Arabidopsis thaliana: one gene and its partner. The protein of the gene in region 2 interacts with the protein of the main gene of each other region in a pairwise test. Each region holds a gene or a part of one and is shown on either strand. Other genes may lie near its edges.

The links.
Region 1: the proteins of PIN4 (region 2) and FYPP1 interact in a protein complementation assay, tested with the Arabidopsis thaliana proteins (one study listed by BioGRID).

Annotation. Positions count from the first base shown.
Region 1 is NC_003070.9:18,651,952-18,663,333, reverse strand, and holds FYPP1 (Calcineurin-like metallo-phosphoesterase superfamily protein), read right to left. Parts: upstream 4,827-11,382; 5' UTR 4,441-4,826; coding exon 4,360-4,440; intron 3,910-4,359; coding exon 3,763-3,909; intron 3,678-3,762; coding exon 3,610-3,677; intron 3,394-3,609; coding exon 3,336-3,393; intron 2,977-3,335; coding exon 2,866-2,976; intron 2,754-2,865; coding exon 2,703-2,753; intron 2,598-2,702; coding exon 2,454-2,597; intron 2,357-2,453; coding exon 2,261-2,356; intron 2,172-2,260; coding exon 2,100-2,171; intron 1,746-2,099; coding exon 1,662-1,745; 3' UTR 1,282-1,661; downstream 1-1,281. Other genes in the region: AT1G50380 (Prolyl oligopeptidase family protein), read right to left, coding at 1-150, 252-535, 683-1,052; VIIIA (P-loop containing nucleoside triphosphate hydrolases superfamily protein), read right to left, coding at 6,228-6,884, 6,973-7,040, 7,144-7,290, 7,376-7,505, 7,592-7,727, 7,854-8,059, 8,251-8,457, 8,604-8,762 and 10 more. UniProt on the Arabidopsis thaliana protein: Catalytic subunit of protein phosphatase 6 (PP6). Dephosphorylates phosphorylated phytochromes, with a preference toward Pfr forms.
Region 2 is NC_003071.7:179,009-190,390, reverse strand, and holds PIN4 (Auxin efflux carrier family protein), read left to right. Parts: upstream 1-6,626; 5' UTR 6,627-7,191; coding exon 7,192-8,386; intron 8,387-8,543; coding exon 8,544-8,811; intron 8,812-8,950; coding exon 8,951-9,036; coding exon of another isoform or gene 9,037-9,047; exon of another isoform or gene 9,048-9,413; coding exon 9,414-9,571; intron 9,572-9,665; coding exon 9,666-9,742; intron 9,743-9,846; coding exon 9,847-9,913; 3' UTR 9,914-10,358; downstream 10,359-11,382. Other genes in the region: HB17 (homeobox-leucine zipper protein 17), read left to right, coding at 22-319, 603-793, 914-993, 2,335-2,593. UniProt on the Arabidopsis thaliana protein: Acts as a component of the auxin efflux carrier. Plays a role in generating a sink for auxin into columella cells. Maintains the endogenous auxin gradient, which is essential for correct root patterning.

The DNA.
Region 1 (11,382 bases), on a different chromosome or scaffold from region 2:
ATCATTACCAGCCCATTCAAGATAAGAAGTAAGTCCTTTAAGCTGTTGCCCCACTGGTTTTAGGGCTTCAGAGTCGATGACATTCACTGTATATATCTCATCACCTTTTGTGTCCTCTGCATATGCCACCAATTTATGATCGGGACTCGCCTATAAAAAGAATCAAGAAAATGAAACATCAAGTTAGTAAAGAGCAAGTTTGAAAAGGATATCTCTTAGGACGATTTTTAAAGTCTATTTTCTAGTCAAACCTTGAAGGCCCCAATTCTGTAGTAGTCATGCTCTTGAGCCTTGGTATTCTCATCCAATATCACATGCTCAGGAGGAGCATCTGGACCAGTTGGCATAGTATCATAGACAGAAGGCTCAGCTTTGTTGTCAGTGATCAAACGTCTACAGTGCTGAATATATTCCTTTCCTTGAAGATTTTTCTCATAATAATAGTAAGGACCCTTGCGTAGAGGTGCAGATATATCATCTTCTTTGATCCTCCCTCTTATTTCAGCAAACAGCTGATTCTCAAATTGCTTGGTCCCTGAATTTTTATTTTCCAGTCTAATTTATCACAAGCTTGCATAATCAACAAGTCACTAATACTCCAAATTGAAAACAAGGAAAGCTAAAAACCCTAATCCCCTAAGTATCACAACGTCACTGACAGAGGCAACTTGAAAAGACTCACCAGACATGACGAAATCAGTGTAGTGATTTTCTTCACGAAGATAAGAAAGCATGTCGGGATTGGTGCGAGAATCGTCACGGAGCCAGTAGTAATTGTCAACCCTAACGTCACCGAACATCTCCATCACATGCTCCACCTTCTTCGCTACAGGAGGGGATCTCGATTCCGCCATGTCTCTCGGTGATGTCAACCGCACTGACGCAGCTCCGGTTTCAGAGGAAGAGGAAAAAGAAGAAGACAGCCGTAGAATAGAGCGGCGGCGAGGAACAAGAGGAACGAGGCAAGAGAGAGGAGTATCGAAGTGGAGAAGACGACTACGAGTCGCGAGAAAGTGAGTGCCGAGAGATACGAGTCCACGCCTTATTATCATATTACGTGTCCGTTTTAGTTGCCTAGAGACTCGCGACCAGTTTGTTAATAGAGGACAGGTCATATCCGGTTTGGATAAACCGGCCTATCTATGATTCCGGTTACAAAATTATTAACTCTTTCGTGAATTTTTGCTAGGATTATTGAACAAAACCAAATAATTAGATTAGAAACAAATTACTGTTGAATGTTGATTAATGGTCTTCTATGTTCTTGTAGTGGACTATTTTTGAGCTTGATGAATTTTATAAGCCTGAGATTAACCCAGAACCTAATCAAACCGTGCTAAACTGCAAATAAGCTGAGATGATAAAAATTGGTCTTGCTTACAGAACAAAGATGAAACAAAACAAGAAAGAAAGCACGTATAATAATAACATCCAGAAGAGGTTCAGGTTAAAGTGCATCAAAACCACTAAAATTACCAAAGTGACATTCACTTTCACAAGAAAATGTTTCCAAAATGGAAAAAGGAAAAAAAAAACAATGGAAGTGTAAACAACATCAGAAGATATACCTTGAAAGAACATAAGCCAATGGCAATCATGATAATGGCTAACTTGATAAGAGCAATACGAGACTAATAATGATGTAGGATCATCATCATGAATCACAGGAAATAAGGAACACCTGTCCTTGGCCCTCTCATTTGATTGTTCTCTTCTGTCTCCGTGAAGAACTTCACTTCCCTTTCCTGGTAATTAAGCATATTTTAACAAATCATTACTGTCAGTGAGGACCAGATCCTAAACACTTCCCAGAAACAGGTCTATATATGAAAAGTAACACACAGAGCACAATCAATATGGACAGACTGATTCCACGCGAACTGTGAATTGTTACTAAATAAATGGCTTAAACATCATAACTCTATCTCACAAGAGTCACTCATGTGTATATGTTTGGGTCGAGAGACAAGTATCAAAGGCAGTAACTTATTTAATCAAAAAGGAAAAGTAGAATCCGAAGACGAGTGCATAAAAGTAAGAAGAACATGAAACAAGATATTGTGGCAGATCAGTAACAAAAGAGAAAACAAATGCCTCACCATGTTGTCATTGAAACTCAATATAGAAGCCACATTCCCACAACGGTAGCAGTAATTAGGCGCAGACCACACCTTTACAAAAAAAATAAAGAGAAGAAACATCACCAAGCAGATTATACTTCCAACTATCCAAAATGATCATAAGGAAGCAAGGCACTTACAGTTACAAGACCTTTATCTTGGAACATGTACTTGAGACCTTCTTGTACAAGCTGGTGAGCGCGACATACTAGATCAAGATTGTTAATATGGTTAAACTGCACAAGAAGCAAAACCACAGATCAGGGAACTGAAATACATTTATTTCTTTTCACACCTTATTCAAATTTCAACCCCAGAAAAAAATATAAATACCTCAGTGGTAACCCTGGACCCGAAAAGCCAACCAGCTCCACGTGGACTGACAGCCCATGTTTCAATATCTTCAGGATCACTCCACATAAGATCACAGAAGGGTCCTTCATGCGGTATTTCGCAATTCCGCTCAATCAATCTTATCTAGAGAACAAAATAACATCTAAATGAGTAAATGAGATTTAATCTAATCATAAATAACACTTGCATGGTGAAAACCAAAAGTAATTTAAAATAGCACATTTTAACCTGGTCAATTGTCCGTACATCAGGTGAAAGGCCACCATGAACACATAGAACCTACATTGAGGATGCAATACGTTTTAATATGGTATACAGCTAACTTATGCATTCATAAAATTATACAAGAACACATCATAACACAATGCCAAAGAAGCTGAGAAATACTTACAGTGCCATCTATAATAGCTGAAAGTGTAAGATAGTCAAAAACATCCGTGCAATATCTCCAAGCATTAGCATTACCATACTTCCTTTGGCATTCGTCATAGAAACCATACACCTAGCAAATATAAAATTGGTACGACAATTTAAGAAAACTATAAAAATGAACCTGCAGGGCACAAAATATCACTACAATCTTCGTCCTTGACAGTGGATGTTAAAAGATATAGGATATGGTGTAGGATAGAGATAAATCAAGAGCTTCCGAGAAGAAAACTTATGGTTGCAAAGGGTTCACATAAAATGCATCTTAGTTAACATCTATGCCTATATCTAGCATGGCATTGCCACATGTACAAAATAAACTTTCAAAACTAGTTATAACAATTGAGCGAAAATTACTTCTCAACCAGTAACTGCGTGAAGAGCACAGCAAGTCAGCAACAATAGATATAAATGGATTAGAATAATGCATACCTGAGTTAGCTGTCTACTTTCATGATTTCCACGCAAAAGAGTGATATTGGCTGGATGTCTACATATTGAAATACAAGGAAACGAGTGATTTTAAGCTCACAGCAAAGTAAGTTAGAATATAAATTTCCTGGAATACAAGTTAAATCGATTTTCCAGTAGAGCAATGCGTTTACAGCTTAAAGAGCATTCTCAAGAGAACTATGATATACAGTGTGAAACGGAAGGATGACGATCCATGACATATATAACGCACAATTTCTACGGAAAATCTTACCTTGCTTTAAGAAGCAAAAGAATGGTGAAAACTTCAAGACTGTTGTAACCTCTATCAACGAAATCCCCCTGAGAAAATCCCCCACAGATAATTAAACTATGTGTTACATATTGATATGTCATACGAGCCTACGCCCAAAGTCAGAGTCTATACCATAAATATGTAATTGGTCTCGGGAACATGACCTCCGGTCTGGAAAAGTTTCATAAGATCATGAAACTGGCCATGGATATCACCACAGACGGTGACAGGACTGTTGACAGGTTGTACATTTGATTCCTCAATAAGAATTTCTTTCACCTATATAATAGTCAAAATATCTTGTGAATTACCAGAGTATCTTAGCAAATCATTGTCATGAAAAAAGAAGAAGACGGCTGCTACTACAAGTTTCAACACTAAAATTACTATAATAAATCCTCAAATAACAGTTTGCAAGCGTGGACTTGGTGCATCCATAAATTGGCTAAAGAAGAGCTAAACTTATCCCTAATTCCTTAGAATTTAGAATTGAAATAGCAAAGTCAATAAATCCTCTATTGGAAAAATGAGAGAAAAACCCTAAAATCCGTAGACCAAAATGGCAAAGGAAACAGTAAGGGAGAGAGACCAGATTCAAAGTAAAGTGCCACAAAGCAAGCTCTAAAGTCTCAAAAGAGTAAGCGAAGAATTGGGTTTTTGTAGATGCATGAATATTCGGGGAAGAGAAAGCAAGCAAGAGAAGAAAGAAGAAAGAAGAAGAAGGCGTACGTATTCGCAGAGAAGTTGAAGCTCGTCCTCAGAGAGATGTTGGCCGTCTTTAACCTTGGAAATCCATTGATCTAAATCCATGGCGGCCTTTTATTATCCTCTCTGTCTCTCTCTTTCGGTGGTGAAGTGGAAATTGGTGCTGTTTCTTCGATTTCAATGGTGAGTCTCGACGATCTCTGGTGAAGAATTGAAAGAAAGATAGATCTAGCAGAGCATTGCTCCGTCCGCTTAGGGTTACGTAAGGGGGAAAGAGGGAGAGAGAGAGAAAGGGGAAACACAACGAACCAAACAATCTCGACCCGAACCCGATTTGGTCTTCCTCCATCCCCAAACTCTATTCGTTGGATATTTATTTTTAATCATTTTTTTGGCAACATATTAAACATCAATTTAATTTTTATCTATTACTTCATTACACAAATCTTTAATGGAGTATACTACACATTTTCAATGTTTTTGCAATTCTTTTCTTGGTAATTTTATTTGTCTACTTGAATGTGACAATTGATAACACCTAAATAAAATTCCACAAATACTTAAACCTTCTTTATAGTATTTTTTCTTCTTTTTAATTTTTTTAAAAAAACACATTTCGATATATGTGTTGTTGAATTTGAGTAAGACCTTTTTGATAATTAAAAACTCCTAAAAAAAATTATTTAAAAGTCTTGTTAAACAAATTGTGTCTAAAGACACATTTCGAAATCTATGTGATGTTGAACTTTTGAGGAAGGTTGTTTGTGGGAGACCGTACGGGATATGTTAGAAATGAATCAATGATCTTGGATAGGCATTAGCAATACGATCGTTCAAGAGCGAACCTCACTCGATTCATTTCAATGTTTATGTTTGGGTCTTCCCATTTGGCTTCTGGTTAGGGATAATTTGAGAAGGAAAAGTATTGTTATGATGACCTCTAAAAATGACAAAATGGAATTTGTCTCACCAAAAAATCTCCAATGTTCAAATTACATCCGAAAAAATCACTAGTCGGAGGGCCAAATATTACGGAAAGTATATATTGGTGTTGGTTTGGTTTATACTTGGTCGAGAGGTGATCCGAAACTTAGTTCCACTTAAAAAAGTGATGCATCGCAAAGGTAATTCGAAATTTAAATTGTGAAGAGTTTACTCAGCTGCAAGAATAGAAATGATTTTTCTCAGACATGTTCATTTCGGGTTTGGGCTGGATTGAGTTTTTTTTTAACCCACGACAACATTCCAAGAAAGATCACTTGTTGAAGAGGGATTCCACCAACTGACCATCTGATACAAGTGCATGATTTATCATATGTAATTTTATCCATCAAATTATCTAAATTTTTGTAGAGTCTAAGTCGAGATATCACTGAAATCGGCCAAAAAAACTAGTAGTTAAATAGTTTTTAAAATACACATTGTCCAAACACGATAAAGATTTTTTAAACTCAAAACAATCTTGTATAAAATCTATACAATTTTTTTTTCCCTTTCTAACTCCATATGTTTACAAACAAACAAACTTGTAAGGAAATTTATATTATTATCATAGTTTACCACCTTGTAGTTATTTCTCGCTATGTCCATTTTAATTAGCTTGATAAAAAACTTAACTATTTAAGAAATATAAATATTGATTTGTTTTTGCAACGACTATTTATATTCAAATACAGCAATGGTTCACTGGACTTTGGAATCCTTGACAAATAGATATACTGTATAATATAAAAATTATTTACTGAATTTGCCAATAGATTTGGGTGGCAAATGAAAAACATGACTCTTTCAGTCCCAAGGAGCCTTCTCACTTCTAGCAGCAAAGCCAAAAACCGTAGTTACATCAAACGTGTAGAAAAGGAGACGTGCGTCTCAAGAAAAGGAAGTAACCATTAATACCTAGTACTCCTCAACCTCCCCCACCAATTCATCTTCACCTTCTCCGCTGAACCACCTGTTTCTTCACTCCCAAGTTTGCTAAGTATCAGTTTCGTTTCCCTTAGTCTCCCTCCATAATCTTTCTTCCATGTCTCAAACATCTGTTTCAGCCTTCGTAGCTCCCGGTCCGGATTCAAGTTTGCTTCCACCTGACCAGATTTCACTTCCATCAAGAACTTTCTGTCGTCACCAAATACCTGAGCTCTTTGTCCAAATTCCTCAGCTAACCGGCTTATCACGCTTAAACCCACGCCTACACTTCTTGACCTGCCATGGCCCATTTGGTAATGACTACCTCCTGAATCTAAATCTGTTGCATCGCTTGCATTCACCGATGCATCCGAGTTTCTCGCTGAGTCCTCAACCTCTAGGCTTTTCTTTGCGATGGAAAGACTGGATTGCAAAGATTTCATCTGCTTTTGCCAAATTTCTTCCATGGATTTCATCTTTGTTTCATATTCAGACCACCGGTTATCGTACTGCTGGACTCTTTGTCGGAGGATGTCGTTCTCCTCTTCTTTCTCACGAAGAGCAGCTTCGGTTCTAAGAACCCTACGCTGAAGATCGGAAAGATATGATGCCTTCACTAGCACCTCGTCTGACTCATTTCTCTACATAAAGAATTGGTTTAAGAGTCTAGCAATATGCATATATATCATGTAGTCAAATGCACGAAGAGAATGAAAGCTTTGAGAGGACCTTGGTGCCACCAGAACTAAGCCATCCAATATCCCCCGCACATCTTCTAACCAGCTCTCCACGAATTGCTACAGAAAAAGGTTTCAGCATTTCTTGAAACTTCTATTTTTTAAAAATATATTTTGAGGTTTAATTTGTTTCAATCATGAGAATTAATCAACCCTATTTTACCTGATTGTATTACAGCAGATGCATCAACTGTGGCTTTATACTGTTGGCTAGCAATCCTTCTCTTAACATGGCTTTGTATAGCAGCAGAAGCTCGATGCCTCTGCAGTAACTCCGTGTATTCCTTTCTCATCTTTTCTCCACGAACAACTGAAACAGAAGGATGTGTGAGGTATGGTTTCTAACGACATAACAAATACAAACCAAGATATTGAAATGAGACAAGGGGCAATACATGATTGAAGAATAGTAATTCCGGTTTTAAGCTCTTTTAGACGACAGCGAGCTTGGTGCCCTCTAAAATAACTTTGAAGACGTAAAATGCCATGCAGAGTGCGATTCCTTGTATCTTCAAGAACCCCAATCTGCAATGGTGAAGCAAGTATACTGCAGTAAGAATGTCTAATTTGTGGCCCCTAAAGTCAAGACATCAGACGACTAGTTATAGTACCTGGCCAGTTCTGAAAAACAATTTTGTGTAGCCAACTTGGTACATCTCTGGCAAGATATTAAACTGATGGAGAATTGCAACCGAAACACTTAGAGGATCTTTTGCTGCAATGTTCTCCAGCAGAAGGAAACCATACCTAAAGTATGACAAAAGAAAAACAGCATGACCATTCAACATTATTGCAACTAAAAAGTATGGGAAGCCTATTATAAGAGGACATGCAATACAATGAAAGTGCACCAACTGGAGATGGAGTTGTTACCTTCGGGCAAATTTATGATGAAACATTCTCGTGGGAAATCCAGACCGGGATATTCGAACGACCTCTAGGACACCACAACATCTTAGCTGCTGTAAGACAAGTCCTTGCTCATACAACCCGGCAGACTGAACATTGTTTGGCTTTATGCAGCGAATAAAATGTGGGGTAGTGTTCCCTAGACGTTGCATCAATTGGAAAAGTTGACCCTGAAAAAAATATCCCGGCATCGTCACTAATCAAATATTATAAGATGACGTTTCCTTCTAAAGTAAGCAGAAGCCTTTTGGACAAGAAATGGACAACATATGTTGATGAGATGAAAGCTGTGATGAGTAAACCCTCAACAAATTTTAAGAGCAGAAATAGAAGCAAGCTGTGTTTAAGGAAATCACCCAACCTTAAATTTAGTTGCTACACTCAGTCGCTGGGAATCAGCTCCACCTGCTTTGTGTAAAGGACCGACAAGAGGTTTTTCAGAATAAATGAGCATACTAGAAGCAAACGCCTGAGGGAGGTGGCAAGAGCAAGACGACAAAAGTTGAATAGAATCTGAATGCAACAAATCTCGGTTCTTCTCTAGAAATCCAGTCGTCTCATATGTAACCTGAGTTAGAAAAAAATCACACTAGGTTACTGATTCATTCTTGATTTCTAAACCTCAAAATTGATCCCAGAAACTCTACTCTATATCATGTCTTGTGTTCTGATATATCATGTAAAATGGTGCCACTGAGTTTTTAGAGCTATTACCTCTCCAGCATAATGCGCAACTGTGAAAGCCTTCCCCCGATCTCCTCTAAAACAGGAATTATCATTTAGATGTTGTTTAAGCTTGTTGGCAAGTGTCAAATCTGTGCCATTTGGAAATGTGGATTCCTCATCCAGAAGAGAAAGCAGCCCTAATGGTTTCTGCACAGAAACGATTCTTAATTGTCTTTAAACACATGTTTTGATATAACAATAGATCGTTCCAACACGATAAACTCAACAGTTGCTATGCAGCTTGATGATGAGACATCATCGGCAAAATGTTAATATATTATCCTGAGTAACAGACATACTGATATGTAACATATGATGATTGCTGACTCTAGATGAAATTAGCTATCACATTACCTTTTCAAAGAGACTAAGACATTCTTGGTTGTCCTCAAAATCAACCCTTGTCCAGTCAATGCCATCCTGAATATATTCCTGGAAGAGAAGACAGAAATATAAATCCCTCAGAACTCGGTAGCTGGTGTGTACATGTCCATGCTCTGCCTAGATATACTACAAGGACCCATAGCAGAAAGGGGTTTACGTTACCTCCTGCTCAAGCTTGAAGAGATGACGGTTGAAGTGTTGCTGCAATCTCTCATTTGCATAATTTATACAGAACTGCTCAAAACTATTTTTCTGCAACATGTATAGTATTTATTCAGCAAACCAAATTAACATTGGTACAAAATGTAACACAGAAGATGTAATGTGCAGATAGCTTATGTAAGTTCATGCAGTAAAACGCAAAGGGAGACTAAAAACCAGCATACATTGAATGATTCAAAGCCATAGATATCAAGAATGCTGATGGATCTGCCAGTTCTCCTCTTTCCCACCGCAAGAGATTTGTTAATCTGTTCAACTAGCCAGTCAAATAGGCAGGCATAGATTGACTTTGCTAAAGCATCTCTTGCGTCAATGGCCTGGAAGCAAATAAGAAAAACTTTCACCACAAAAATAAATGAACAAGGCTTGATTCCAAATAAGTAAGAGGGGGCATAGATCATGATTACAGTGTTAAAACCAACCCTACTCAGAATAAAAGTACACACAAAGAATCAAGTGAAAAAAAAAATCTTTCTAAAAGGCCTACCTGCGATAGTGTTAGCTTCTGTACAATAGTATCATTATTAACTCTCATATTACGCTTTGATAGAGCTAGCTTAAGCTCATTGATGTTGCACCCAATCAATTTAGCAACAGTTGACAAACCTGGAAAACAAAAAAACAAAACAGCAGTTATATAGCCTTGCATTGCGCACCCTGCCAAATGAGCTACAGAGATTAAGCAGAAAATTTGCTCCAAGTGAATGAAACAAAAAATATAGAGGTGACATTTTCGAACAAAATACAGAAAAACGTGATAAATTTAAAGGAGCAGGTATATCACTATTAAGGACTGAAGAGCCATACTTTCATCTGGTTCAGGTTCAACGTGATTTTCGTTGTCAATAATGGTAAAAGAAACATTCCCTAGCCATAATACTGCAGCAAGCATTGCAAATACATTTTCTTGATCTTCTTTACTAACATGCACAATATCTAAAGCTTCCTGAAACGGCAACGTAAAAGGTCGAAATAAATGTCTCGAAGTTGCAGAGAAAGAAAAAGAGAAAAGGTTTGACTTAATGAGGGAGTTACCTTAACGGCGTGAAAACGTTCAGCGTCATCAACTCCGTTAATTGAATAGCAATTGCTTTGTTTCAAATAGTTATACTGTTTTGCACTTGTCAAATTTAACTTCTCTGATTTAACAATGAGCGAAACAAAACGTCAGATAAACAATATTGTTCCACCAGTTAGTCAGTAACCATATATATGAATATGTAAATTTCTATCACACTAATCATTTTCACTTGCAATAGATCCAACATAAGATCTTTAAAAGAGAACTGTTGATCAGATATCCAAATAATACCTCTAAGTGTAGGTGAAGCCCCAGCACAAAGTTGATAGAATATATGATATGACCTTTCTCCTTCCGTACATTGAACCACTCTTGACTATGAAAGTGTGACAACAGAACATGAAAGGATGTCAATATTAAAAATCATTTTTCAACATGAAAGAAACTGAAGCAGCAAAAATATTGAGGAATTTACCTTTTCTAGTAAAACTGCAAAATTTAAGACAACAAGAAAAAAGCTGTCAGATTTTGTAAAGGAAAATTGAAAAAAATGTGTGAAGCAGCACTAAGGTTTATGCTTACATGTTTGAATTTGAGCACCCGAAATCTTCCCTGTTTCACTAAAATGAATTTCTATCAACTTACCCTGTCAAATTTAACATCAGAGAAAGATTAAGAGATAAATAAAGACCCAGAAGTTTTAAAGACACAGAGTAAAAGAAATAAGAGTAAACAAGGAGTTTGGACGCTTACAAAACGACTAGAATTATCGTTTCTCAATGTTTTTGCATTTCCAAATGCTTCCAAGATGGGATTAGTCTTTAGTATCTCATACTCGATCCCACTTCCACCTCCAAGAGCAGCCAAGTATTGCATCGCTATCTTTGCTGTCTCAGTCTTTCCTGCTCCACTCTCTCCACTGGATGAAAAAGAAATCTTGTGATAAGAAAACACTTCAAGATGCACAAAGTGGAAGAACTCATTCTTTCAACCAATCCACTATTTTCCATAGTCGCACTAATGCATCTATTCAGGTCAAAACTAATAAGTTTTGGCAAATAGATTTAGTCCCACACTATATTAATACTACAGAGGCACGAAAATATGCAATATTAGTATGAAATAATTCATGAGCAAATA
Region 2 (11,382 bases):
TTACTTTGGTTATGTCTTTCTATGATAAAACTACTATTTACGTACATATGCACATACACATATAAACTATATGCTCTATATCATATGGATTACGCATGCGTGTGTATGTATAAATATAAAGGCATCGTCACGCTTCAAGTTTGTCTCTTTTATATTAAACTGAGAGTTTTCCTCTCAAACTTTACCTTTTCTTCTTCGATCCTAGCTCTTAAGAACCCTAATAATTCATTGATCAAAATAATGGCGATTTTGCCGGAAAACTCTTCAAACTTGGATCTTACTATCTCCGTTCCAGGCTTCTCTTCATCCCCTCTCTCCGGTAAGCTTTACACAAGACACATATATACATGCTTCAATATGATTAAAGAAACTACTATATGAACCAACCAAGTATATATTTATGATGAGGCTTGTGTTTGGATTCTATGTTTCTTTTGGTGGATGATCTGATTATCTTATTTCGTTTTTACAAACAAAATCTCTAAACAGATATTGACAATCATAAAAATATAATTAGTTTTTTCATCGTCTTTTTTCTTTATGATCACATATTTTTTCATTTTGTCCTTGTGAATATAATTTATACACGCAATAAGTTTCAGATGAAGGAAGTGGCGGAGGAAGAGACCAGCTAAGGCTAGACATGAATCGGTTACCGTCGTCTGAAGACGGAGACGATGAAGAATTCAGTCACGATGATGGCTCTGCTCCTCCGCGAAAGAAACTCCGTCTAACCAGAGAACAGTCACGTCTTCTTGAAGATAGTTTCAGACAGAATCATACCCTTAATCCCGTAATTTATTATTCACAATAAAACATAACTACTTCTGCTGTTTTTATATCTTTTAATTTTAGAACAAAAAGAATTGTATTGAATGTTAATCTATTTTGTTTTTTATTTTGTGAAACATAGAAACAAAAGGAAGTACTTGCCAAGCATTTGATGCTACGGCCAAGACAAATTGAAGTTTGGTTTCAAAACCGTAGAGCAAGGTACGGTTTTATTTTCCTCTTTGTTTCTTTCTTAAGAGACTTTTGTTTTCTTACATCATTGGTGGGTGGTTGATGATTAACGAGAGAGTTCACAAAAATATAAGCGTTAAACGTTGACGGAATATAAAAATAAAGCAGAAAAAATGAAATCTGAATCGGATTCGACCCACCCCGTTAACGTGTATATATAAGTCGTACCCTTAAATAATAAAAAGCTAATCTTGTCCTAAATCAAATATTTGTTTTATAATGTTTTCCTTCTAGGTCCTTCTTAAATTCTTGAAGAGTCACCACTTGTTTAGTTGTTACACATAGAGAAGGAAAATGTCAATTCCTAAATTTTTGAAGTCAAAGAAATTACGGAAAGAGATTAATTAACAGCCACACGTATTAATAAAAGTAATATGTTAATGTTGAAGTAGTTATATATATCAACATCACGTACATATGTGTTGTTGCATGGTTACTTTCAAAAGTGACAACAGCATTTTGGAGCCGCCAATTGTGATATCCATTACATGTTTAATGTGTGATGTAACTTGGAGCAAGTTTTACAAAACACTTTGGCCCGTGTACGTCAATACGTGTATACATTATTTCATTTACCTAAATATTCACGTGTCAATGCATATGTCTCAATGTTTCATGAACTCATTACGCATCAGTCGTTTTATTACAATTTCCCGGTAACGTATATAGGTTATATGTCTTTAGTTTCTGCATGAATATATATTGTTCATGTGTAAACACACATATTAGTAATCAATCTATATAATCCGATAGTCATTGTTATTCAAACTGAAAATTGGTTAGATTGTCTTTTCTTTTTTAGACTCAATATAAAAATAGTTCCTTTATCTAGATCCCACAATAATTGTGAGCAGATGGGAAAGGTATGGTGCAATAAATAAGAAGAATTTCAACATTGGTCGTATAACTATTATGACGGTTTCCCAAATTATAACTATAAGTCTATAATCATAACCACACCCTTTTTTATAATAGAAGTATTTTAAAGCCTTTTTTCGTTTTGAATTTTTTATATGTTTGATTTTTTATTTTTTAATAAATTTTTAAGTAAATCAATCAACGTGTTTTCTTTTTTGTGCCTCGTGTACTTGCTTTCTCATCAATGCCCTTTGACTCATAATTCATTGGGCAGTTCATGCGTTTTTAATTCCATGATTTTTTATATTTGCATCGTCACCTAGCATTTGATCATTGCTTGCATGTTATAATTTACAAGTTGTACAAAAACATCTATGAGTTTAATGTGTTTACGCGCGTACATGTCAAAAAATAACGTATCGTACTGTACGTTTTTGGATTTGTTTGGATTAGGAGCAAATTGAAGCAAACCGAGATGGAATGCGAGTATCTCAAAAGGTGGTTTGGTTCATTAACGGAAGAAAACCACAGGCTCCATAGAGAAGTAGAAGAGCTTAGAGCCATGAAGGTTGGCCCAACAACGGTGAACTCTGCCTCGAGCCTTACTATGTGTCCTCGCTGCGAGCGAGTTACCCCTGCCGCGAGCCCTTCGAGGGCGGTGGTGCCGGTTCCGGCTAAGAAAACGTTTCCGCCGCAAGAGCGTGATCGTTGATTTGTGTATCTTAATTATTTGAGTATGGTTTAGAAGTCAACGAAGGTCTGCTATTGAGCCTACAAAATATTAACGATCACATGATTTCGTGTAAATACTAAGAGACTCTGTTCCGCTTTGTAAATATTATTATTATTATTGTTAACCAGAAGTCCCTTATCATTTAATCTTGTTTGAAATAACATAAGATACTGTTTAGAAAAATTATATCTCAGATCATTATCACAAAAGTCTACTAAATTCAATTGTTGAGTTTATTACTCCCATATTGACCCGTAAAATTTGTTCGTTGTATTGGTCTCTGTTAGAGTTTGCTCGCGGTAACTAGGATGGGACTCCAGCTTTTTGGAGTTGTGGAAATCACGCGAATTTCTGAGTTTCTCTGAATTGGTGTTTCTTCTTTCGTTTTCGCTATAAACATTCGTTCTCCTCTTTTACTGTTTTGTTATCATCTTTTTTTTATAGATTTTGATCTTTTTCCTTTTCTTGTGTTTCTTGTAATTTCTGTCACAATTTCAAAAATGGTATAAATACTTTACATTTTACCAAAAAATGTAGGGAGTGCTACATTGTATATAAACTAATTTTTAACTAATTAAATTCTAAATGACATATGTTGATTTTTGGGGAAAAAAGAAAACTTGTGTTCTTTGAAGACAAATTATAGTTGCATTAATGTTGTGATCTAAGTCATAAGAACGCGAAACACTGTAGCCGTTAAATTTAGTGGCCCATCATAACTTGGGCCTTCGACTAGTTCAGTGGTTTGGTACCTCTTAGTTAAATTCGGTTCGGTCCGGTACCAAATAAATTTGGCCGAGGCCTAAAACTAGTTTGTGTTTATTTCGAGACACCAGACTTGATCAAGACATCAGACATACCCCTCTAGCTCATTGGTTTGTTAAACCATCAAGCGTCTGCTTAGGGAATAATAAGGACGCTTTAGCTCTTTTGAGTTTTGAGAAAATCACAGCTGTGATCTTTTCTTTTGCATGGGACCAGAATCCAGATCATCGTGTCTTACCATAAGATTTGATCCATTGCGAGATATTACATGTAACGAACGAACATGCATATGTTTATTATTATAAGCATATATATATATGAAAAGAGCATTGATCTTGTAGGTACGCCAAACTCGATACGTTTCTATCTAAGGGTCTATAATTCTATTTATATCATCGTAATCTTGATACTATAATATGTGTTTGAATGCTAGTTTATTTGTAGTTAATGTAACAAACAAAAAAAACGATTAATGGTGAGTGTGACTCGTGCTCTCGTTTCTTCAGTCTTCGCCATGTGATTAGGTGTGTGTTAGAAAATATGTCGTTAATTATAACAAATATACCCCCTCGTCCGAAAATACTCAAATCTCCTAAACAATATCCCATGATTATTGATTGGTCGTATCAACTATCAAGTAGTGTTAGGTCAAACTCTATTTGTCTAGAAAATAAATATATGGATCAGACATGATTGGGTTGGACATATAATTGAAGTGTCTTATGCGGGCGGAATAATAATAATATGATCTTGGACGGGAAATGATATACAGTACTCAAGTGCTTAATCCATGATCCTTTGAATTTGAGCAAGTTTATCTACATCACAGGTCTGGTAGATAAAGATGTGAATGATATTCTTACGACTATATATTTTGGTTACCAAGCAATAATCATTGTTACAATAACACATATATATTGTGGAGAGAAACAAAACTATAATTTGTTATTACCAATTCATTCGGATGCCATACTTCTTCAGTCGGCTACGATGTAAGTTTGATTTTATCGAAAATGTTGAGATCAATGATCACGGGTCAAGACGGCTTGCAGGGAGCTCGAAGACAAGTTGAACGTTGCCTTCGGAGATAGTGAAGCCGATCAAAAACCGTTTTTCAATAGTTACAATATCATTGAACTGATCTCCACATTCTCACTTTTCTATGTTTCCTGGTTTGTAAGATTTTTGAACGATCATTTTAATTTGCTTCCATTGTATATTTAAAGACCAAAGTCTTGATGGATGATGAAGTAGACTTGAAAATTGATGAAACCCGTTATTGTGTTGTTGTGTTACAAATCCCATCTATGATCGTTGATCTCATAGATGATCATTGATCATTTTTCTCATTTTTCTATGATGAAGTAGACTTTTTCCGGAAGGCTTATGAGAAAAAAATACTATTCTTGTTTTGTAAACATATGTGTTCAATAAAGAATCTATTTTCATTTGCAATCATTCGGATTAATTAAAGTGATTGCTGGATGAATGTTTTGAATCTCTTTTTACCATTTCGCTACAAAAATAAAAAAATTGCGAATTTCGCATCCAGATATATACTAGTATTAAGCATGGGAGATTATTCACTCCTCGAACACATCCTATGACTATGAGTTACACAAATCAAAATTTTTACATTCCAACGTTGATGATCCTTTGGATTTGGTATTTTTCCATGTCATACTATTGTAACTTTGTTTGTAATTTCTTTCTGGTCAATATTACTCTATTGTGGATGCAAGATCGCATAACTAGTCCTCCATCGAATCAAACATGATCACAATTTTAAGAATCAAACTGGACTTTTATATACCGAAATAAAGTTACAAAGATTTCGCTGAGATGTTCTTACTTCTTAGAGCTAGATGAGTAAGTAATATTAGGGATTTTCTAGTGTACAATTGATGCCTCTATACATTACTCTCCATCAGATTTATAGGACTTGACCTCGTCTGCTTCTCTGATATTTCCCAGAAATCTCGCTCCTTTTAGTTTCTGCTTGAATCTATCAAATCCTAGTGATTTTGCGACCACCTACTTCTTTATTCTTTCCTTTTTGTTGGTTATGTCCAAACTGATTTAAGAGTATCCACATTGGTTATTTTTATGAGTGTTTTTAGATGGCTATTTTTAAATATAAAAGAGTAAAACAAATAAAAAATATGAGGGTCATTAAAATGAAAATTATATCTTCCTAAAACATTTAAGACATCTATACCTTTAATATTATTTTATATGAAATACATCTATGAAAAATTATTCGATGAGGATGGTCTAATGAGTCGGAGAGTCTCAGACCAACATCTATCTATAACTATTTTTTTTTTCACTGGAAATATAGATTTCATTGATAGAAGATCTGAGTACAAGAGCTGACAAGAGAAACACTCTTCTAAAAGCCGGAGAGTACATGGGACCTTCCAGGAACTAAAAACATATTTAAATGAAACAAAGGGGAAAAAAACCGATCTAACAAATTACATCACATCTGATCAAGTACTTCCCAGACCCAAAATCCAAGAGTTCAAACGAAATATACAAAGTCTAAAACAACAATGATAAACTGATAGATCTGAGACTAGAAGCCTCACTTAACTCAACCTAAACACGAATGGGCGATGAGATAAAACCATCATCCAGAGACCCAAAGGAGTGAGAGCCTCATGAAGGAGAGAACGAGATCGGGATCTTCAGGTGGAATTTCAGAAGTCTGAGGCGAAAATTTGGATAGAAACGCTTCTGCCTTGGATGGATCGGCCAGATCTGACTCTGTTCTTGAAAAAGACAAAAGACAAACAGCAAAAACCTAAAAAGAAAAAGTTTTAGACTTTAAATATCTAGATCTGAAAATTCAGATTCACAACCGTTGGAAAAAAATCTCTCAGATGTGTCTAAAGAAAAAAGATAGAATAAGAGCAAAACAAAAGACTTCGGTTCCGGTGCTGAGAAAGCCACCGGAACCGGTAACCCTAAACGCAGGCGGCGGCTGAAGTTTTAGAGATAAGGGAGAGTAAAATTTTAAGAGTGAGAAAATGACGAGATGTGAGCTTGTAAATACTTTTTGTAATATAAGTAACTATAAGTAATATTTTTTTTGTAATACCTCAAATTTTATTTTTAATGATATTTACAAGTTTAACAAAACAAAAACAAAAAACAAAATATTATTCTAGTCATAGCAAGTGAGAATTTTTGAAAAGGGAATAAATGTGTGTAATTAATTCAACGGTCCAACAGTGGCTTGGACCTAACACTAATGACATTTGTTCTTCTTGTAATTTTTATGTGGCTGTCTTCTTGTACCAAGTACGTAGACAATAGTTTGATTCTATTTGGAATCAAAACTCAAATTACATTTACAAGAAAAACGATCACAGATACAGTAATTCGTAGTATTCGCCAAAGTTCCTTTTGCAACTTTCAAAAAGTGCAAAAACAAGACCACTTTTTCGTAATAAGATAGTAGCAAAAAAGCACGACTATTCCATAAAACTGTCCACGTCCCTCCAGAAAACTCCCCCCACATGCGATTTGCCACGTGTCCCCACTCAACTACACACAAAGCCATTTTAAATCAAATTATTAATCAAACTTAAAAAACGTAATCGTGTGCTGATGATGATGATGACACTGTCACTGCCTCAAAAACCTCTATAAATTAGTCCTCTTCACCGAATCCTTGTAAATCATTACTGTACTTTTCTCTCTTAACGGTTTCTTTATTATTCTTCCCATTCTACCCCTCTTCTTCCTTCTAATTCCCCCTCAAATGCCACTGTCTTCTCACTAAACTCCAAAACCCACCGGAAAAAATGATTACGTGGCACGACTTGTACACCGTCCTCACCGCCGTGGTACCACTTTACGTAGCTATGATTCTCGCCTACGGATCCGTACAGTGGTGGAAGATATTCTCACCAGACCAGTGCTCCGGCATCAACCGCTTCGTCGCTATCTTCGCCGTCCCTCTCCTCTCCTTCCACTTCATCTCCACCAACGATCCTTACGCCATGAATTTCCGCTTCGTCGCCGCCGACACGCTTCAAAAAATCATCATGCTCGTCTTACTTGCTCTATGGGCTAACCTAACCAAGAACGGTAGCTTGGAGTGGATGATCACAATCTTCTCTCTCAGCACTCTCCCAAACACTCTTGTCATGGGGATCCCTCTGTTGATCGCCATGTACGGAACCTACGCAGGTTCTCTAATGGTCCAAGTCGTTGTTCTTCAGTGTATCATTTGGTACACTCTCCTTCTCTTCCTCTTCGAGTACCGTGGCGCTAAGCTTCTTATTATGGAGCAGTTCCCGGAGACTGGTGCGTCTATTGTTTCGTTTAAAGTTGAATCCGACGTCGTTTCTCTCGACGGTCATGATTTTCTTGAGACGGATGCTGAGATAGGAAACGACGGGAAGCTTCATGTTACCGTGAGGAAATCAAACGCATCGAGACGGTCACTGATGATGACTCCACGGCCTTCGAATCTTACCGGAGCTGAGATCTATAGTCTTAGTTCGACTCCGAGAGGTTCTAACTTTAACCATTCTGATTTTTACTCTGTTATGGGGTTTCCCGGCGGGAGGCTTTCGAATTTTGGTCCGGCGGATTTGTACTCCGTTCAATCTTCTCGTGGTCCGACTCCACGGCCTTCGAACTTCGAAGAGAACAACGCCGTTAAATATGGATTTTACAATAACACTAACAGTTCTGTTCCGGCGGCCGGTTCGTACCCGGCTCCGAACCCGGAGTTTTCAACCGGTACGGGTGTTTCAACTAAACCGAATAAAATTCCTAAAGAAAACCAACAGCAACTGCAAGAGAAAGATAGCAAAGCGAGCCATGACGCTAAGGAGCTTCACATGTTTGTTTGGAGCTCAAGCGCTTCTCCGGTCTCCGACGTGTTTGGCGGAGGTGCAGGCGACAACGTGGCAACGGAACAATCTGAACAAGGTGCTAAGGAGATTCGGATGGTTGTCTCTGATCAACCTCGAAAGAGTAATGCTAGAGGTTCTTTTTTTTTTTTTTTTTTGTCATCAAATATTATTTAGCTAAAATTGCGGAAAATTGTTTACATAAATAATATGCTAGAGGTTTGTTGGTTTAATTTTATTATTATTCGAATACTATTATTTTTGTATGTATTCATGATTTTTGGTTTTCTCAGGTGGTGGTGATGATATCGGCGGTCTTGATAGTGGAGAGGGAGAAAGAGAGATAGAGAAAGCTACAGCAGGGCTGAATAAAATGGGGTCTAATTCCACGGCGGAGCTAGAGGCGGCTGGTGGAGATGGCGGCGGCAACAACGGAACACATATGCCGCCGACAAGTGTGATGACACGACTGATATTGATAATGGTGTGGAGAAAGCTGATCAGAAACCCAAACACGTACTCCAGTCTAATCGGTCTCATATGGGCTCTTGTTGCTTACCGGTCAGTGAGTCCAATCATTTTCTTACTTACAGATTTTATGGATAAATGTTATAATAAGAAAAGGAAATAATATAATCATCTATGCATGGAATAATTGTAGTGGGAACTAATAATGAGTATGGGTTGTTTTTGGAAGCAGGTGGCATGTGGCTATGCCCAAAATATTACAACAATCCATCTCCATACTCTCAGATGCTGGTCTTGGAATGGCTATGTTCAGCTTAGGTAAACACTAACCTTGCTTCATGCAAATCTAGACTTGTTTTGATGATGATCTAATCTTTAAAGTTGGGTTCAAATTTGTTCTCATCTTATCTGTTAAAAAAGATTCATTTAATGCAAAGTGGGTCTGTGTGTTTAATTAGTCGTAGTTGTCCAGCTTGTAATTGGTAAAAGTCATATAAACTGTACAAAGCACTTACCCAAAGAGAGAATCCTGACCCTCTGACCCAGACATGTTGGTGTGTCCGGTCCCCACGCCGAGTCCCCACTGGCTCTGTCTACTTATTTGGGTCTCACCAAGTAGATGACCTAACTCTTTGCTGTCAATTTTCTCAAATCCTTTTAGTTAATGAATTGCTTATTTTTGGTGTAATTTTAAGGTTTATTCATGGCACTTCAACCCAAAATCATTGCTTGTGGGAACTCTGTCGCCACGTTTGCCATGGCGGTCAGATTTATAACCGGTCCGGCCATCATGGCTGTTGCTGGGATTGCCATTGGCTTACACGGCGACCTTCTCCGTATAGCCATCGTTCAGGTATACAAATTTATAACGTTACATGATATAGCTAGGTCTATTATAAATATTACATGATCACGATGATGATGTTGATGAATGCATGAATTATTAGGCTGCGTTGCCTCAAGGAATAGTTCCGTTTGTGTTTGCAAAAGAGTACAATGTGCATCCCACGATTCTAAGCACTGGGTAAGTTCCAAACTTATTTTATGTTACAGCCACATTTTTATTTTTGTTACAAACTTACAATATATTAACAAATGTGTGAATGATGGTGAAAAATATGGATGCAGGGTCATATTTGGAATGTTAATAGCCTTACCTATAACTCTGGTCTACTATATTCTTCTTGGCCTTTGAATTGGTCCCTTCAGTATCAACTGGCTTTTGAGAGAGCCTCGGAGATTGGGCTATTTATTTCTCGGTAACGAGGAAATAAGCAAAGCCTTTATTTTTCGTGGGAAAGAGTGGAAGGTGAAGAAGAAGATATGCCTTTGGTTTTTGGTTCCAATATTTGTGGAACACAACAAAAGTACTTAGGATTTAGTGAACAAGACTTGAATGGATTAAGGATCTTGTCTTCATTAGACGCCAAGAAGAAAAAATCTCTCTTCCTTACCTTTATTTTTTCATTTTCTGTTTTTGTTAATTTATGTGTAGATTTTGGCTAAGCAGATATGTAATATGCACCTTTTTTTATTAATTGAAGTTTCTAGTTAAGTGGTTTATACTGAAACTAGCTTATGAGTTGGATTGAAATAGTCCTATACTATATATATACACCCTCGTACTGATTTATTTTTTCCACAAATACCATTAATATTAATTCATCGGGAAGAGATTCTCCGCTAGAGAGAGCCATTCATGAACCATTATGCTTACATAGGAGAAAATATTATTTCTACCCCGAGCTTTTTTAGCTAAACAATCAGTTCGAGTGTTAAAACTACGAGAAAAAAATCTAATACGGAAAGAAAGGAAAAAACAAACTAAGGAGCGATAGGATGCCAATTCCGCTGCGAATGTCGGTCAATCGTCTTGATTGTCAATGATAGAAATCAGGTCTGAACAGTCAGAAGCAAAAGTTTCAAAAGACAGTAATTTTATTTTATTACAGTTAATTTAAGCATATTCCTTGATAACAAACACTGTTTTACGACAGAAGCAAAATCCTAATCTCTAATTAATTAATCCTATGATCATACGATGCATGTTTACGGTCCCGTTTTTTTAAGAATACACGATCTCTAGCAGAAAAAAATCTCAAAAAGTTTATGTTAACTTCAAATTCTGTGAACTTCCGCACATGAATCTAAAGACCACCCTTTATAGAAAAAATGGTCCCGAGACTATCAAACGTAGTCTTTATAATGTCAAAGTAGTGTGAATCTCATTTTTCAAACATTTTTAATGTTATGAATTGATCATCTGATTTTCGTATTAGGATTGGTCATTCAAATACGGTATGATTACTCATCCAACAAGTAGTAATTTAACGAGGCATCAATATACTATATAGAAAACAAAGCAAATATTCCGAAACTAACATCAAAACTAATGGGAGAGTGGATGTGAAGAAAATTCAATGGAATGCAAAATCTAAGATGGACCAACATGCAGGCTTCGCCCGAAAGCGACGACGCATTTCACTTGACGACAAAAGTTGCCATATTATATCTTTTGCAAGTAAAACTTGTTGTGTTACTCGTTTACACACATGCCCCGATATTCTTATTCTTATCTATATGCCCATAGAAGTTGTGAGTTCTTTTATTTTGGGAAATTCTAAAGGATTCGTTTTGAACTATACATTTTTAAACCTATAGAGT